2 linked regions of the Caenorhabditis elegans genome follow. The protein of the gene in region 1 interacts with the protein of each later gene in a pairwise test. Each region holds a gene or a part of one and is shown on either strand. Other genes may lie near its edges.

Region 1 (3,756 bases):
TCCGCACACAAACCTCAATTGAAACCTGAAAAGAAGCGAGATCTGAAAAATGCCTGAAAAAATTGGCTCCGAGTTAGGGCACTTCGGACGGCCAAAAAATTTTGTGACTATTGTCAAATGAAAGATCATAGTTGATAACGTAAATTCCTACAGTTTCATAAAAATCGATACACAGCGAACAAAGTTATGATTTTTGACCCGGAACTTATTTGGAGACCTAATATTAAAAAAAACTAATTCATCTTCACACCACTTGCCTCAGCGAAATAATTCTTCACATTCCTGTTCAGCACCATCTTGCCGACCTCGATCAGTGGGTAATCACCGTGTGGCCAAACTTTAGTGACATCAAATGGATTGAACTCCCATTTCTCAGCTTGTTCGAATGTCATCACTTGAATGAACATCTTCCATTCCGGGAAATTTCTTGACTCAATGGCATTGAACAGGTCGCGGATCGCATAGTCTGGATCCGAAGAGGCGAGCTTTCCAGCGTCAGTTGGATCGAGATTCTTGGAACCTTGAGCAGGCTGAAAAATAGAAAATGAAAATTTAATTCTAGTCCCCGTCTCTCTTAGGCTTACCTTGAAATGGAATTTACAATAAATCGGATTTCCCTCCTTGTTGACCATCTTGAAAGTATGCGCTCCGTATCCATTCATAAAACGGAATCCATCAGGAATTCCACGATCCGAGTAGAGGAACATCACCTGATGAATGGATTCAGGGCGATTCATCCAGAAATCGAAGAGCGCATTCGGATCCCTCATGTGAGTCTGTGGATTGCGCTTCAGGGCATGAATGAAATTCGGAAAGTGGATTGCGTCACGAATGAAGAAGATCGGAGTGTTATTTCCAACCAGATCCCAGTTACCCTCCTCGGTATAGAATTTGAGAGAGAATCCACGTGGATCGCGGACAGTATCAGCGGATCCCGATTCTCCAGCGACCGTTGAAAAACGAACGAGAAGTGGTGTCTGTTTTCCGACCTTGTTGAACATATCGGCCTTACAGTACTTGGTGATGTCATGGGTGACCTCGAAGTATCCATGAGCACCACCACCTTTGGCATGGACGACACGCTCCGGGATGCGTTCACGATCGAAATGAGCCATCTCGTCCATATAAACGATGTCCTGCATTAGCATTGGACCACGTCGTCCGGCGGTGAGCACGGCGGTCTTCGAGTAGATCGGAGCTCCATTGGATGTGGTGAGCAGGTGGGGTTCCTGGAAAAATCAGTTTTTATATAAATTGCGAAGAAAATCGCTGAAATTGATTTTTCTCACCTGATTTCTATCTCTATAAGCTTTCAGCTGATCCTCAGCCATTGGTCCGGGTTTTGTGTCGTTGACCGCTAAAAATATATAGTCACGTGGTGCCAGACTGTCCCATTACGGTTTGATCTACAAAAAATGCGGGAATTTTTGCCCAAAACAATTTGACGTCCGCACGTTCTTAACCATGCGAAAGCAGTTGAGAACTCTGCGGCTCAATTCCCGCATTTTTTGTAGATCTACGTAGATCAAACCGAAATGAGACAATCTGACATCACGTGTATTTTGTAACAAAGAAACTCACTTAGATTGACCATGTGGGGAAGCATTGGCATTTTGAAGATTTACTGTTGAATTTCCGAGAATCGGCACTGAAAAGGAAAACAAATAAATAATATAATCGTTTGCGAAAACCGGAGAGATTGCTCGGAGTCAAGAATCAACAAAATCGAGAGATTAATGGCGAAAATTCGTGGAAATTATCGTTTAAAATTGGTAAATAATTTTTTTTTACGCAAGAAACAATAGAAATCCACGCTGAAAACGTTTTTGTTTTCCGGGAAAAAAAATTAATCGATTTTAATTACAAAAAAACAACATTGTTTTCACTTATGTGCAAACACCGATGTACTTTTTTGCGTACCGTAGTTTCGAGTTTGTTTTTCAAAAGTAATTTTTCATCCGAACGGCATTTTTGCGTAGAAAATTACACTTTTGAAAGAGTTTTTTATGGTTAAAATGTGAAATTTGATTTAAAAAAATATTACGGGGACACAAAACATATTTGACGCGCAAAATATCTCATAGCGAAAACTACAGTAATCCTTTAAATGATTACTGTACCGCTTGTGTCGATTTACGGGCTCGATTTTTGAAAATAGCACGAAGGAAAATGAAATATCGATGTAACTTTTCGAAAAAAAATTAATTCGAAAACTTGAGCCCGTAAATCGACACCAGCGCTACAGAATTACTGTAGCTTTCGCTACGAGATATTTTGCGCGTCAAATAGGTTGTGCAAAACGCATTCTCAAAATTTTGTGCTCCCGTAATACTCGAAATTACCCAAAATTTATAGATTTTCAATTTTACAGAGCGAGAAAAGCACGAAACAATGGCGATTATTTAACAAAAATATTAAAATTCACTAATTTTTTAAGATGGAAATTTCGACTTTTTTCAATTTTTTTTCGATAAACGTAAAAAAAACTAGCTACGAACCAAAAAAAACCTTCTCAGCGAGCAGTTCTTAGCTTATAAACAAACTCTTAGAGACCATAGATCACCATAAAAACAACATGCAAACAGCTGAGAGAGAGAGAGTGGAAAAAAAAAGAAAAGTGAACAACAAAAACACATTTGCGGGGATGGTGTCTGGCCGCCTCTTTTATACATTTTCAATGTCAACGGGGGACGCCAGGAATTGTCAGCAAAAAAAAATATATTTATACTCTAGTACTTAATGTCATCATTATTGTTCTAGTTTTCTCACAAAGGACAGCCAATTTATATAAATTTTCCATCAGGCAAATGGTGGCAAGAACAGCTGTGTTTTGGTGGAAGAAAAATGGGTTTTGCAGGTTGAAAGGGTGAAAAATAAAAAATCTGAAAAAAAACGTTTGTGTTTTGCAAAAAATAATAATAATTTTTAAAAAAATTGATTTATGTGCACATACACCAATAGGCTTAGTCTTAGGCTTAGGCTTAGGCGTAGGCCTAGACTCAGCCTTAGGTTTAGTCTTAGATTGGGGGGGGGGGGGGAACAAAAATTCCAGAAACTTCAAGAATTCAGAAAAAAGGACGATGAAAATGCACTAAAAGTTGCACAATTCCAAAAAAAGCACAAAAAATCTCATTTTCAGAAAATTCACTAAAATTAATGCAATTTGTTATTTTTCTTGTATTTTGGCATTTGCATTTTCAAAAATAAATCCCCATTGACCGTACTCCAGATTCAAAGGAGCACACTTCTGCTGAGTGGTCTCGGCACGCGTACCGAAACTTTTGTGTGTGCGCCTTTAAAATTACTGTATATATTTTTTCTTCATTTTCTTTGCTGATTTCGTAATGTTTTTTTCGAGTTTTTGATTGTTTTTTCTCATTTTTTTTTGTTTTTCTTTATTATTAGTTAAAATATAAAAACTATTTTAAGCTAATCAACGCAAATCGAGGCGAAAACCGATCGCAGAAAGAGGAAAAGTCGAAAAGTGAGTTTTTTTGCAAAAATATTTCAGCCGCCGCCGTCAGCTGGATTCCATAGAAGTGTGACGAAGGAATTAAGGTTTGCTTATCGAAAAAATGTTGATTTTTCCTAAATTAATTTTTTACAGAGCTCGTCGATCCGGACAATTCCGCAGAAATCAGGAAATCAACAGACGGAATGGCTCCGGAGTCCAATGGAGCGCACAAGCATTCGCCAATCTGAGATCCACAATGCGGCTGGGCTACGGATGCTGAATAGATAATTAAATTGCAATAT
Region 2 (3,756 bases), on another chromosome or scaffold:
TTGTATTTTAATATTGTAGGTATTAGAACCTGTAGCAATGCTCGCAATTACTCAAAAAGACCACAAAATATAGCAATTTGCAAAAACTGTACTTAACATGTTATTTTCAAAAAATTTGTAGCTTTTTCAAGTGTTTTGGTATGAAAAGTAGGTAGGCTTGAGGCAGGCATCAAAGCCTGCCGGAAAGAAAAAACGAACCTTCCAGCTAAATCCACCAAATTAATCTCACTTTTCTTCATCGATGTACCTCCAGCTTGCTTACTAGATTTCTGATTAAATGTTATTTTCACAATTGTGTGAGCTCTACTACTTGTTGCATTCATTTGTGTTGCCGCAATAGTCCTACTTTTCGTTCCTTCTTCAATTTTTGCTTCAATTTCTTTGAAACTGTTCACCGGGACTGTTGTTAGATTTTCCACGTAGAACCCATTTTTTGGGTGCTCTCTCACTTTCAGACCACCTTTTGGCGGTGGAGTTGAACTTAGAAGATCTCGAACTTTTTCACAGTAGATTTCCATCATTGAAACGAAAACTTCGAATTGCATATTTTTCTTTTTATTATCCGCAATTTGCTTGAATAGTTCCTCACAAACTATTGGCACGATTCCTGCAAAAAATTTTAAAATTTAAATCCCAATGTTATCGGTGCCCAGTAGAATTCTAGAAGATAATGAGTCGTGTTCTCTTGCGCCCGACGTTTTATAGGTCCTACGAGACATTATAGAAATGAAATATGCACATTTATACTGTTTTAGTAAGTCTAAGGCAGGCAGCCTATGTTTTAAAATCCCTGCAACACCACTCACGCGCGCAAATTGGCAAATATTAGGCGTGATGGCCTCTGCAGGGTCTAGGACGGCCACTCTGTGTTCTCTTCTCTTGTTCACTCTCTCCATTTGCCTCTCGCTTATATTTCCCAGTTGGTTGCGAAAAACCACCGAGCGTCGTGGCGGGCGCTTGTGAGTCAGCTTCTTGACGGTAGATAAGTGTGGATGGAGTGAGAGGAGGAGTCCTGTGTATGTCGTCGTCTACGTCGACCGAGCGTCCGTGCCAAGCGCTACGTCACCAGGGGATAACTGTCGGAAGGCGGTTAGTCCCGGGTGCATAAGGAGTCGTGGATGGTTCAGGACCGAAAGGTAGCAGACAAAAGCGACCGCGTGGTGCAGTGGCCGGACCGCGCTTGTAAGTTGACACACATACACAGCCTTCTCGATACCTTCAGACCACTTATCATTTTTGGAATTTTTAGTTAAAATAGAATTTACAGTTTACCTTTATTGTTTTTGAAGCCTACAATTGAATAACTTTTTCCACTTCCAGTTTGTCCATAAGCAAATAATGAACAGTTGTATCCAGCCCATGCATTTGCAAGAACACCTCTGCCAAGATCTTCGAAAACTCGTCTCTGAAATTATATTATTTTCAAATCGGAAGAAGGAGTCTTAATAATATATACCTGATCCGCATAATGAGGATCCGTAGGTTCCAAATATCCATTTTTCTTTTCAGAGAAACCATCATGTGACCAATATGAATGATCATATGTAAATCGTTTTTCATCGTTTGTTTTAGGATCTCGAATAACTGTTGTTTCCTCATCTGGCATTTCAATTACCAATTTGCAATTTCTTGTCTTTTCTCGATCATTGAAAGGTCGAACCCGAACTGCTACGATTATGGAGTCACCCTTTCCCATTATTCTGAAAAGTTCAACTAATAAATTTAGAACTAAATTTGGTTGGAAAATTTTTTTAAAGAAACATTGGAATATCTTCGTACTACTACCGTACTACAACAAGGATCTCAACTATATTTTAAAAAAAATTTTTAAAATTAAAAAATGTATATGAAGGTATTGCGTCGCAATAATTGGTTGGTATTACGGGAACAATAAATCATGAGAATGTGTACTTGGTGCATTTTATTTGACGCGCGATATCTCTTAGCGAAAACTACAGTAAGAACTCAAATAACAATAGATATTTAAGCTCTTACTGTAGTTTTCGATAAGAGATATCGCGCGTCAAATAAAATGCACCAAGTACGCATTCTCATGATTTATTGTTCCCGTGATATGAGAAAAGGATTTAGTTTTTTTTTTTAATTTACAGATTAAAAGTATAATAATTGAATACTTCTATCAGAGAGAACAAAATTTGTAAACAAATCCGAACGGAAAAATGTTTTTAAAATGAAAAGGACAAGAAAATAAATGGAAAATTCAGTATAGAGTGTAGTAAAGCGTGGAGAATGGGACCCTTCTTCTACATACACGTGGAGTCAATGTTGCCATGTAGGTCTCCAAGCGACGAAAGGAAACGGACCAAACGGTGTTTGATGTGAAGAAGAAAAATTTGTATGAAGTTGTATTTAATGAAGATTGAAGATTGGAATCAGAGAACAAAAAGTTGAATAAATGCACAGAATTTCTGAAAACAATTGATTTTTTGATAAAGCCTCGGATAGTTTATTTCAACTTTGACAGCATTTATCCGATTTTTTACTTATGAATATAATTATCCAAAAAACCCGAATATCGTAGCAAACTCCAAAACGTGTTAGATATTTAAAAGTATCTAGTCATTTTGGCAACTTACCAAACTTTCCAAAATTTGAGATTTTTGAACAATTTAGAGCCAATAAAATGTTGAAATACGAATATTCCAAAACTTCTCGAAACAGGTTTCTAACAATTGATTCAATTGATACTGCCTACAGTAGTCTTTGCGGCATTTCATAACTTTGGAGTGTCAGTGATTTACGGAATTGACCAGAACCTACATCTCTGAAATTCTCGTTATGTGAACAAAAACAATTATATTTCCCATTTTAATAGATTTATTCGACCAAAAAAACAAAACGAAAAAATAATTTTAAAAAAGCAAATAAAAATTATTGAAGTCGTCGACTCTGAAAAACGGGGGTTTTATGATTTTTATTTTCAATGTGATAAATTGGAGGGTGGAAAAGGAAAAATATATATAAAAGGTATTTTTAAAAATAATTTGCTTTATTTATAGAAAATGTATAGGTGAGGTTTTGAAACGGAATCACAACCAAGATTTGTTGAAATTGTCTGGGACGTTGGGGGGGGGGGGGGGGGGGGGGGGGTGTAAGCTAAATGAAAACTAAAAAACCCATAACGAAACAAGAAAACAGGAAAACTTTGGTATGCTTGAAAATTTTAAAGCATATGGAAAAATGCTTTAATGAATTTTTTGGTGAATTTTATAATTTCTGTTAATATTTTCAATGACTAGACAATGCCCATCAAAAAGGCTCAATAAAAAAACAATTATGTTCAGTCGAACGGCTCCTCTTTTTTGATGTCACTGTCGTTGAAGAATGATGAGTTGTCGAGTGATCGAGCTGCGTCGGAAGCACACGCAGAATGCACAATCTGTAATGAATCTTGATAAATTCACGAGTTTTGAATAACAAATTTTCACCTTTCCGTGAACATTAACTGTGTCCCTTAATCGCCACGTTTCCTCGTCATCATCATAATACTCGTCAAACTTCTCACCACAAACTGAACATTCTTTGGTTTTAACACCGGAAGATGCTACTCCTGGAAGTGGTTCCTCGGGTTTATCAGCTTCTTGCTCATTCGTTTCATCAGATGCACGTGGTGTAAGCCAAGTGGATGTCGATGGATACCACTGACGATATGGTACAGCTGCCGAATTGTTCGACCCGTGGCGTGCCAAATTTTGCTTCACATGCCAATCCATATGATCTTGCCATTCTTTTGAC

The links. The genes of interacting proteins can lie anywhere in the genome.
Region 2: the proteins of ctl-3 (region 1) and klp-6 interact in a two-hybrid assay, tested with the Caenorhabditis elegans proteins (one large-scale study listed by BioGRID).

Annotation. Positions count from the first base shown.
Region 1 is NC_003280.10:14,309,132-14,312,887, forward strand, and holds the start of ctl-3 (Catalase), read right to left. Parts: upstream 1,649-3,756; 5' UTR 1,613-1,648; coding exon 1,582-1,612; intron 1,358-1,581; coding exon 1,290-1,357; intron 1,230-1,289; coding exon 585-1,229; intron 531-584; coding exon 258-530; intron 1-257.
Region 2 is NC_003281.10:5,028,889-5,032,644, reverse strand, and holds the start of klp-6 (Kinesin-like protein), read right to left. Parts: upstream 1,717-3,756; 5' UTR 1,697-1,716; coding exon 1,457-1,696; intron 1,406-1,456; coding exon 1,273-1,405; intron 1,236-1,272; exon of another isoform or gene 828-1,235; intron 608-827; coding exon 199-607; intron 1-198. Other genes in the region: pcf-11 (Polyadenylation and cleavage factor homolog 11), read right to left, coding at 3,302-3,400, 3,450-3,756.